3 linked regions of the Rattus norvegicus genome follow. The protein of the gene in region 2 binds, or shares a complex with, the protein of the main gene of each other region. Links are inferred from orthologs where the notes say so. Each region holds a gene or a part of one and is shown on either strand. Other genes may lie near its edges.

Region 1 (3,650 bases), on a different chromosome or scaffold from region 2:
ATGAGAAAGCAAAATAACAAACAATGGGGATGAGTGGGGTGCCGTCACAAATGCTCTCGTTCGTTGGCTAACGTAAAGTGCCTCGCATTAACAGTTAAAGATTTTTTTTTTAAAATAATTTCTGAGGCCAGAGGTTATCAAGACAGCTAGTCATCAACGGCCTGCTGCCTAAGGGCTACAGTGTTAGGCATATTTTTTAATTGAGGAAGTAAATTAAGATTTTTTTTTTCCAAATGGGTCTGAAAATTTAAAGTCAGACTGACCGTCGTATGGGCGGAATTTAGTAGTTTTGAAAGGCAAGTCGTTGGTTTAAATGGAGAACTGGGGGAAATAAAGATCATATGGGAAAGCATCAATTCTCAAAATCTTAAAATGGCCAACTTTCCCCCAGCTGTGTCTAGTTAGTCTTTGAGCCAAACACATTTTCTGTTTTGCACTTTACTTGTTGACACGTCATTTGCAAATGCACACCGAGAGAGATGGCTGATGGCCCTGAGGTGATCTCTGCTTTGTCCCCAGTCTGTGTCCTCAGTTTCCCCACTAAGATCTTCTCGTTTGCCCTGCTTGGTTAGGAGTTTTCTGGTTTTGAATGTGCCTACCCATCGCTGTTGCTCCTTGCAGCCTGCGGGTCCTCTTCGCCGCCCCTTTTAAAGAGAGATTGAAAGCTCACCTATCTGCAAGGCACTGCAATTTCATACAAAACCCACACAGTCTCTGTACCTCCAACAGCCAGGTAGGAAAACCTGACAGTCCTGCGTACCATCCTCCCGGTTCACTCTTAGGTCGACTTTCTGGCTAAATGGGGCTGTCTACTGAGACTCCATACCTTCCTTCCTGCATTAGCAGGGCCCTCAGGAGACTCAGGCTGGAGACAGGAGGGACGGGTAATTGTTTTCCTCTGCTTTCCCTAAATGCACAAGCTCCAGGGAGCAGAGGCAGACTTAACTCCTGAGGGTGGGGCACGTCAGAATCCTCTCTGTGTCCAATCCATGCCCATGGCAGCACAGATGGGACATTCCTATTCCTCACTTCTTGGTACAAAATGAATTAACCTTTCTGTGGTGGTAGGGGCTTTGTACAGGGCCAGTGACACTCAGCTTTGAGATCGATTAGCTCAACCAATATTAATTTTTCCCCCCTTGGCATTAAACTTCAGGAAGTTAGCTCTGAGCTGGGAAAAATCTACTTTTGCCCTCTGTATTTCTGAAGGTCAAATAAATATTATGTTATACTCTTGGAAAATGTAGTGGTAGGCAGGCCATGGACAGTTAGGGCATATTTAATAGTTCTCTGTCCAAGAACAGAGCACGGTGCTGAGTCTTTCTCGTCAAGATGGACCCGAGCTTACTGCTATACCACAGTGAGAGAACCGTCATTGTATGGGGTCAAAATAAGGAATCCAGCCCCCCATGGAGGTCCCAAATATCACTTTCACAGGCTAAATTTAACTTCTCTGAGATCCACAAAGAAGGCAAGCTAGGAAGGCTTCTTCCTCTTTTCAGGGAGAAAATAGAAATGAGAAGTTCTGGTTTAGAACCCTCCACCGCACTAACACTCAGGGAGGACGGATATAAAAAAGAGTTAAGAACTTAGGGAAATCTGTGAAGTAATTAAACTTCAGGGAGGACACCGATTCCATCAGGCTAAACAATGGCTGCTGCACTTCTTAAAAACAGCGCTACTAGCCTTGTCCCGTTTTCTCCAGACATTTTTGAAGAGATAGATTGCAGCGCACGGCCACGTTTATTTTTGCTTAACTAGCCTCATATTGAAGAGTCCCTCACACCTAGGGCAGGGCACCTCTGGGGGGGGGGTCTTTTTGTTGACTGACAGGTGCCAATCTCGTTGCTTAGACTTTTTGAGAGAGGCATAGATCAGGAATCGGTAATTTCAGAATTGGTGTCTCATAGGCGACAGGATTATTTAATAGATTACAGTTACAAAGCAGTAACTGACTCAATCCTGAAGTCAGTGAGCTAGCCCCCAACCCCTTCTGCATATTAACTAACCTTTGAGTTTTGGGCTGCAACTTAAGGAGCACATGAGCCCAAAGCTGTGGCACGGGTGACGTCATCTTTTTCTTTTTTAAACCCGGTTAGTTGATCTAACAAATTCTAGAAGTTTCTATGAAAATGAACTTGAGTCAGTACCCTGAAAGGTACTGTTCGATTTGTTTCTCTAACACTTAATACATGGTAGGGGACAGATGCTGGTCCCCGTTAGGTAAGTCCCTCAGCCTTGCTGTCTTGTATCAGTACCGAGAACAATGGGTACCGAAAAGGCAAACTCCCTATTTATTGACTATTTCCTCAGTATTTCCTCAGTTCACATTCTTCATGGAAGGCAGGACCCCATCTTTGCCACATTATCTGTCTCGTTTTAAGAAAAACCTTTACTGTCACTGTGGTATTGCCTCGCCGCCATATTGTCTTAAACCAGGAAGGTCATTTCAAAGGCAAAACAGCACCCGGATTGGCCAGAAGTAGCTAAGTCCCTGTCTTCCCACCATTTTCACACCTCATTTTCAACTGTTCAGGTAGGAGTGCTGATTTTTTTTTTAATTAGAGAAAGAAGCATCTGCCTATCGTGTTAATTCTTTAATTCTGAAGCAGGGAGCTTGAAGCTTGTCGGCAAGGGTTGTGGATTCCGACTTTTAAGTGAAGATGTAACTGAAAAGATATTTTCCCCGAGAGAGTATAAAACCCTACACCAGTTGACTCCAGTGAAACCTGCAGGGTGGTGGGTGGGAACCTCCTGTGTTGGCCAGCTCTGGCTGGCCAAGGGGTGGCCAAGGCCCGTCGGCCATGTTGGAGCCGCACTGCAGCAGACGAGGCTGCGGCAGAGGACCTGGCCTCAGAGACGCTGTCACCCGGCCAAGTGCTGTTCACTGTCCTCTGCAACCAGGCACCATTTTCCAGCGCGAGGGGCCGCTTTGGGTGGACACCGGTGCTTTTACTCTTATTCCTATGTGTTGTCCCCAAAGGTTGAGAAGGGTGTGGGGGTGCACCCATCAGCTCTTTCTTGGGCTGTCTAATATGCAAATTAGAAAAAAATGATTAGTAGCAATTAGCAGCTGTGCTTTCTAGAGGTTAGTACACACTCCTTCCAAAGTCCTGTCTCCTACAGGCCAGGTGCGGCCTGTCCTGCTCAGTGCCCTGCACAGATTTGACACTTACTCTCCGTTAAACCCATTAACATGTAGGATCCTCATCTGCTTCACAATGGTGCTTTTGCCAGACTCTCCAGCACCTGAGAAAGGAAAGTGAGGGCTTGGGTTAAGAAATAGGCTTGTCACACATCACCTGGATGATGGCCTTGGAAAGCAGCAGAAGCAGCACACAACATACACACAGTGACACAACTGCAAACCTCCTTCACATGACGACGCAGCAAAAAACAACAGACACGTCCAACATGGCGTCTACCTGAAATATCTCACCATAGGGTAACAAGCAAGAATTAAGTGCTCTGCTGTTCTTAAATAGCTTTTTTTTTCCTTGTGAGTTTTGTTGTTGTTGTTTTGTTTTCTCTTTGGGCTTTTTAAAACTCATGAGGCGATGAAGGAATGACGTCATTGTTACTGGAGGGGTGAAAATTTTAAGTCAAAACTGTGAACTTAGTATTGAAATGTGGTCAAAGGTACACAGAAT
Region 2 (3,650 bases):
ACTCTCCCTCATCACAAGGAAATCCCTTCGTCACTGACTGACCATGGGGCCAGGCTGTGAGGACAGAGGCTCTAGTGGGTGAGTCTGTCTGCGCCCAACCCTATCACCGGGTTTCTAGCTGTCAGATGCTACGTGCTTGGCATACGCCCTGGCACTTCTATCTTATTTTGTCTTGTCTCTTCCTCTGCATTCTCATGGCACCCATGGCACACTGAAATCGTTTCCATAGTGGAACACTCCAGAGTTATATGATCCCAACCTCACCTCCCCTTCGATATTAATTTTACAGCATATTTCCTACCTCATTCAGCTACGTGTTCCCAGTACAAATGGTCAATAATTGAATAAACAGCCTATCTGCTAAGTAGAGGGGAGCTCCCCACATCCTGCAAACCTGTGCAGTCCTATTTGCTCTTTAGGATGTCACTCAAAATGCCTCTCTATCTAAGCACTCACTGCCCTACCTAGCAGCAGCAGCGACTTCTGTAGCTATCCATAGGTGCTGTTCTGTATTGTTAAGTCTGTGCTGCCAAGATGTCCTCTGGTGGGCAGTTTGGTGTCCGTAGCTTACTCCCCAAGACCATGCCTTGGGCCTTAGAGCAGCCAATAATGCCCCTAACACTGGCACAGGTAAACTGTCCATACACTGTGGTGGTATAGTCTGAGGATCTGTCACTCTCACCTTTGCTTAACTTGACCCCAGATTTAAGGGAGCAGTTTGCATCTTCCTGGAGCTACATGTGCAGTCTGCCACTATGACCCAGTGCAGAGTGCAGCACTGCTCAGGGGACCAACGTTCATCCACACCTAAGCTGCTCAGCCTTGGTCTGCTTCCACAGGGCCCGAACATGGATGTTCAAAAGCCATTAGTTTTTAAAATATAAAGTTTTGACAGTATCTGTTTCCTCTCAACTGCCAACAAACTTCCAAATCCCTTATTCTGTCTTATACATCTCAGTAGGATGCTGGGACACTTGTCTACCTTTGGAAGAGTCTCCTTATCTTTCTCCACTAAGTATCTTGGAAATGTGTTTTACTTTTACTGACAACACAGCAGTTCTGCAAATGGAACAGGGTCATGTGATCGCTACAAAGAGCTGTGTGAAACCACCTAAATCCAGTAATGAGGAATCAGTCATGGCCCATCACAGAGTAGCTCATGACCACTAATAGCACAGAGGTGATGTTCATGATTGCGTGCTAAATGACAAAGCAGAATGTGAATGCCAGCCCATTGTACAAAGGGTACAGTTGGGCTGGGCAGATGGCTCTGTGCTTGCCATTCCTGCAAGGGACACAGGGGTCAGTTTCCAGCAGCTGTGTTGTGTGGATCACAACCGCCTGTAACTCCAGATTCAGAGACACCAACATCCTCTTCTGGCCTCTTTGAGCACCTGCACTTGCACACACATGCACGCATGGCATATGTATGCACAGAATTAAAAATAAAATACAATCTTTTTAAAAAGATGCACTATGGAGCAGCCGGACAGACTGCTCAGTGGTTGGGGACGCTGGCCATTCTTGCAAAGGACCTGGGTTTGGTTTGTGGTGCTCAACTGGTGGTTCACAACTACCCCTAACTCTAGCTTCAGAAGATCCAATGCCTTCTGTTGACCTCGGCAGCCACCATGCACACACATGACGCACATACATACATGGAGGCAAAACATACGTACAAAACAAACAAATCCGAAAAGTAAACATCTAAAAAGTGTACTGCTAGAGAAGATACCCTGAAAACATGCCGTGGCTGTCCCTGGCTGGCTACACTGTGAGTTTTCTTTCATTCTTTTGATTTATGCCGTTTTACTACATGTGGGGAAGCTAATTGGTTTGTTTGACTCATTCATTTGACATTCTCTACAAAGCCATGGGGAAAACAAGAATCCAGCCTTAGAGTTCAGCGTTGCTGTGTTCAGGGCAGCCAGTCCAACCCAAATAACCATGTTCCCAAGAGTCTGGAGGCTTCTGTCAGCCTGTGATGACATCCCTGATTGGCCCCCTCTGAATTGTCCCTAGCGTCCCCCATTAAGATCCTTCCCAACTTCCAGGAAGTCACACAGACCTTGGCTCTATTCTCTGTTTTCAAGAATTCCAGTGCTTGTGGATCACAAGTGAAGCATATGATTGAAAGCTACACCTGCCAGCACAGCACGGAACCCGGGGTGCAGCTGATCAGTGTGGCCACTGGTGGGCACTGGTGTCTGTTCCCTCTGTCCCAGTTATGCCACAGGTGGGATCAACACGGGCTACAAAAGTATGCTGGGCTTCTCCACATATCACTACTCCCTGGGCTGTATACCTTCCCACTGCTCCCCCAACCGGTCCTGAGCCATCTCCACAGAACAAAGGAATAAAGGGAGCTTTTATATGCGCTCCACCAGTCAAGATAGGGCAAAGACCAAAGCAAGACACATCAAGCACATGGCCAAGAGGAATGGCTGAGTCTAAAGATGGGATTCAGTCCCTACTCTGACATTCCACTCTCCTATAAAGTTACCGTCATGCATCACATAACAAAAGGAAACCATTCTGAGCCTGTCACGTGGTGATTTTGTTATGCAGAAGACATTACAGAGGGTTGGTATAAACCTTAGACGTTAGACATTCTGCACACCTGGGCTATGTGGTACGTGCACTCAAACATACAATCTGTCACCCACGGGAACATCACGTGAAGCACTTGACTACACACAACATGTAGACAGATAAAACAAGAAGGGCTCTGGCTAAGGAGCTGAAGAAGAGGCAGAACGCAGTTCACTCACTCATTAAGAGGAGCCTTCTAGTGCCCTTCCCAGGAACAAGTCCATCAGAAGCCAGTAGACCAGAGATCACTTCGGCTCTCTCCAAATCAGATGCAAACTTACCGATCGATGGCAATAACGCCAAGGGTCAGCATGCTGGCCGAGCTGATCAGCAGGTAGAGAAGGGCAGAGAAGTTGCACCAGACCACACCGAAGATCCATTCCCTCCGTATGGAGCTGGTCACCACGAACGGCAGCACCAGCACGGACAACAGGAAGTTGGACAGGGTCAGACTGAAGACGAACTTGTTGCTGAGGGTGAGAAGGTAGGATTTCTTGTACAAGGTGACCACGATGACCAGGTTGCCCAGGCAGACGAGGACAGTGATGATGATGATGGCGATGAACTCGGAGACAGCGCCCCCTTCGCCACCCTCTGCGGCAGTGAGGTTGCTCAGCTCCTTCCTGTAGCTGAGGGAGGAGTTGAGGCTCATGGTCAGTGCGCCTCGGGATGCGGTGAGCAGAGCATGCTGGGACCACTGCAGAAAGAAGGCGAGACCAGAGGTGGGAATGACTCATTCACACTTTATGAAAGAGGGAGTGGAGGCTTAGCAGGGACTGTTATGTACTTCCCATTGGCCGACTTGATGGGAACCTGGACAGTCTTCCCCCATGAAACCTCTACAACTTTTGTGTATGGCTTGCTGACTCTGGAACTGACCGCCAAACCCATCTCACTCCCTGTGGTACCCTGGCTTTGAGATGTCTCCCAAAGGCCCACATGCCAAAGCTTTAGCACTCAGCTGGATGCCATCGAGGGGACCAGGGGAAATTAGTAGGGATGTGAGGCATGATGGGAGATTTTGGTTCTTGGGAGGATCATGGAGTCCTGCCTTTTCC
Region 3 (3,650 bases), on a different chromosome or scaffold from region 2:
TTTAACCCTAGGAGGCAAAGACAAACGGATCTCTGAGTTCAAGGCCAGCCTAGAACAGAGCAAATGCTAGGTGAAGAAAAGCTTAAATCCAGGCCTGGTGGACCACACCTTTAATCCCAGTGCTTAGGCGACAGGGATGAAAATCTCTGAGTTCAAAGTCAGTCTGCAGAGCAAGTTCCAAGACAGCAAGCTTAGGCAGTGAAGGAGTTGGAAAACAGAAAGCTGGTGATAATGTAATAGAACAAGGGGGCCATGCTCCAGCCCCAGCAAGCAGCAGAACTCGGCAGCTTCAGCAACGTGGCTCTAGCTTTAGAGTCAAGAATAGAAGGGGCCACTGGGACAATTGATGCTGGTCAGCTGGAGCTAAGAAATTAGCGGTGATTAAGAAGAGACCAGCGTCACTGAAGTGAAATCTAACGAGAAGTGTTTTCTGAGAGCACAAAGAAGCTATATCCAGAGATAGCCACGGCTGTACCTCAGGATGCATCTGTACTTGGTAATGTGTAAGAGTCACCCAGGTGGTGCTGGTTTTGAAAGCATGGAGGGGGGTTGGGGATTTAGCTCAGTGGTAGAGCGCTTGCCTAGCATGCGCAAGGCCCTGGGTTCGGTCCCCAGCTCCGAAAAAAAAAAAAAAGAAAAGAAAAAAAAAAGAAAAGAAAAGAAAAAAAAAAAAAAAAAAGAAAGCATGGAGGGGTCATGAAGAGCAGCTGAGGCTTGGCACTGTGAGAGGCCAGGGAAGGCCATTGGTGAAGGTGCAGCCTCATTTGCAGCTGACAGCTCTGGACTAAAGGTGTCATATAAAGATGTTGAAGCTTAAGCACAAGAAGGGAGCCTATGAGAGGCTAATGGTGAAGCCTAGTTGCAGCAGAAGACCCCAGTGTATGGGAGATGTCAGGACCATGGGATGATCACCAAGAACAGCAGCAGCAGTGGAGTGGATCAGCCTGGGCTTAGAGTCCTACAGAGGGCAGAGCTGGAGAAGTGACACCAGCCCTTTGGAGGAGGCCTGAAGATCATGTGTGGATCCCAGACATTGAAACAAGAATCTGTAACATTAAAGTTGCTTTGGAGACCCCAAGATATTTGAGATGCCAGAGCCATGGGCTATCTGCTGAGGAAAGCTATTAACAGGGAGTGGAACCAATCCAGGAGAAAGAAGACTGTTGCAGTCCACAAAGACGAAAAAGGAGTTGAGATCTGAAAACTGCTTTGACATCGGACTTGGAGATGCAGGGTTTGGAGTTTGCCCAGCTGGTTTCCTGTCTGGCTTTGGGGATTACAGGTAAGTGATTGGATGAATCTCAGATGAGATTTTGAACTTTGGACTTTTAACATTGTTGAGACTGCTACAGACTAAGGGAACTCTGGAAGTTGGACTAAATGTATTTTGTATTATGCTATGTTTAGTCATGACCCCTATAGCCTCATGTGTTTGGACAACCCTATGGGGCCAGGGAGTGGAATGCAATGGCTTGTATATCCTCGGCCCAGGGAGTGGCACTGTTAAAAGGTGTGATCCTGTTGGAGTAGGTGTGTCACTGTGGGTGTGAGCTTTCAGACTCTTATCCTAGCTGCCAAGAAGCCAGTATCCTAGCAGCCTTCAGATGAAGATGTAGAACTCTCAGCTCCTCCTGCACCATGCCTGCTTGGATGCTGTCCTGTTCCCTCCTTGATGATAATGGGCTGAACTTCTGAACTTGTAAGCCAGTCCCAATTGAATGTTGTCCATATAAGAGCTGCCTTGTCGGGCTGGAGAGATGGCTCAGTGGTTGAGAGCACTGCCTGCTCTTCCAGAGGTCCTGAGTTCAAATCCCAGCAACCACATGGTGTCTCACAACCATATGTAATGAGATCTGATGCCCTCTTCTGGTGTGTCTGAAGACAGCTACAGTGTACTTATCTATAATAAATAAATCTTAAAAAAAAAAAAGAGTTGCCTTGGTCATGATGTCTGTTCACAGCATCATGTAATAAATGACAGGATTTATTACTGTGTGTACATATGCCTGTGGGGGAATCTGTGGAAGCCAGAGGCTGATATCCAGATATTTTCCAAAATCATTCTCCATTTAGTTTTGAGACAGGGTCTCTTCCTTGAACTTGGCCATTTTGGATTGGAAATCTGCTTGTCTCTGCCTCCCTGTTTTTTGGGTTATGGGCACTCATGGATATGTTCAGTATTTTTTGTTTTGTTAGGTTTGGGTTTTGGGTGCTAGGGATCCAAATTCAAGTCTTCGTGCTTGCATAAGCATACAGTTTACTCAGTGAACCGTCTCCTCTGCTTCACGTTTTTGTTTACAAGGTCTAGCTCTGTAGCCCAGGCTGGCCTTGAACTCTGATCCTTTTGATTTAGCCTTCCTGTTTCAGGTATGTGCTGACACACTTGGCTAACGTGGGTACTTTTTAAGGACAACAATAGCAAAGCAACAGTCTTCAGAAGATACTTTTAACCCAAGGTCTGTGCTCTAGTGTTGAGTCTGAGTTTATTCATTACCTGTTATTCCAGATGCTTTCAAACAGGTCCAGCGACTCCCGGAGTCTGTTGGTGTTGTTATCTTCCCGGATCACCATGTTGTAGCTGCTGCAGGCTGCCACATAGATGATGGCAGTGACATCTACGGTGGGGTAGAGAGGGAAAGGGGAGCACTTCAGACGGACAGTGTCAGTTGTGCTGGGGTTATGACTGCGCAGGTCCCAGACACTGACATTTGGGGATTGCATCTAGAATGCATTTAGAATATGGGCCGTATGCATGGCCGCAGTTGACCAGGGCTCTACCCAAAAAGATAATGGGTATGTGGGATGCTTAATTTGTGTTTTTTAGTATATGTGGTGCCGAAGCGAGCACGAGATTCGTGTTTAAGGAGACCGTGGTTATTTTTAACTATTATTTACACACAGTTGGATTAGAGTTTGTCTGACTAAAATGCAGCTAGGCACAGGGGCGGGAGCCAGCATGCAGCTACAAAGCATGCGAATCACCGTTAAAACACTGGATCCATTTTCTTCTCTCATCCCTCTGGCCTCCAACGTCAAACATGCTGTGGAAGAGAGACAGAGAGACGCCAGTTATCCGGGGAAGTGGGGGTCAAGGGCACATGCTTTCGCCCTGAGAGATGTCAGTTATCTGGGGAAACTGAGGCAAAGGGCACATATTTTCATGCTTCTCCTTTATTGCCAGAATGGTCGTTCGTGATGCAACCCCTGTGTCCCGGCCCTTGGTCGTGAGCTACAAGTCCGGCTGCCTCTCCCAGCTTCTGCTTGTCCTCTTTTCATTCTATATTGTGGTTGTAGGAGTCAAAAGTATGGCAGAAAAACGGCTGGAATAGTGTCTAGGGATACATGGTAGGTGCCTAATAGATGCAGTCCTTTCTAGTTTATATCACATCTTGTACCAAGTGCATGCTAAGTCTGTGCTAGGGCAGGACTTTCTGATCACTTGTCTCAGCCTCAGAAGACTGTCTGTCCTGCGGAAGTGGGAGGGCTTCCTCCTGACCCAGCTATACCCACAGCCCTCTCATCTGTCAGGCGCTTCTGAACAGTGCCTGTCAGGAGGTGCCTATCACCTTCACTCGGGCAGATGGCATTGCTCTCCCTGAGGCTCTCCAGTTGTTTGACCCGGGCTCGGTTTATGCAGTTTTCTTAGTGTC

The links.
Region 1: the proteins of Gpr161 (region 2) and Gnas are in contact, whole or in part, in a cryo-EM structure (PDB 8SMV), measured with the Homo sapiens proteins. The link is inferred for Rattus norvegicus from reciprocal best matches to the Homo sapiens genes GPR161 and GNAS. Residues at the interface, in NP_001254539.1 of Homo sapiens: Arg125, Ala128, Val129, Leu130, Pro132, Met133, Met137, Ile211, Val214, Ala215, Lys218, Ala219, Lys267, Ala268, Thr271, Ile272, Trp327; in NP_000507.1 of Homo sapiens: His41, Lys216, Val217, Phe219, Phe376, Cys379, Arg380, Asp381, Ile383, Gln384, Arg385, His387, Leu388, Tyr391, Glu392, Leu393, Leu394.
Region 3: the proteins of Gpr161 (region 2) and Gnal are in contact, whole or in part, in a cryo-EM structure (PDB 8KH4), measured with the Homo sapiens proteins. The link is inferred for Rattus norvegicus from reciprocal best matches to the Homo sapiens genes GPR161 and GNAL. Residues at the interface, in NP_001254539.1 of Homo sapiens: Arg125, Ala128, Val129, Leu130, Pro132, Met133, Tyr135, Pro136, Met137, Ile139, Ile211, Val214, Ala215, Lys218, Ala219, Lys267, Ala268, Thr271, Trp327, Asn328, Lys329, Arg332; in NP_001135811.1 of Homo sapiens: Ala41, His43, Lys203, Val204, Phe206, Phe363, Cys366, Arg367, Asp368, Ile370, Gln371, Arg372, His374, Leu375, Gln377, Tyr378, Glu379, Leu380, Leu381.

Annotation. Positions count from the first base shown.
Region 1 is NC_086021.1:183,541,139-183,544,788, reverse strand, and holds part of Gnas (GNAS), read right to left. Parts: intron 3,250-3,650; coding exon 3,177-3,249; intron 645-3,176; coding exon 600-644; intron 1-599. UniProt on the Homo sapiens protein: Guanine nucleotide-binding proteins (G proteins) function as transducers in numerous signaling pathways controlled by G protein-coupled receptors (GPCRs).
Region 2 is NC_086031.1:80,135,154-80,138,803, reverse strand, and holds part of Gpr161 (G-protein coupled receptor 161), read right to left. Parts: intron 3,290-3,650; 5' UTR 3,245-3,289; coding exon 2,874-3,244; intron 1-2,873. UniProt on the Homo sapiens protein: Key negative regulator of Shh signaling, which promotes the processing of GLI3 into GLI3R during neural tube development.
Region 3 is NC_086036.1:63,017,756-63,021,405, reverse strand, and holds part of Gnal (guanine nucleotide-binding protein G(olf) subunit alpha), read right to left. Parts: intron 3,042-3,650; coding exon 2,983-3,041; intron 2,616-2,982; coding exon 2,495-2,615; intron 1-2,494. UniProt on the Homo sapiens protein: Guanine nucleotide-binding protein (G protein) involved as transducer in olfactory signal transduction controlled by G protein-coupled receptors (GPCRs).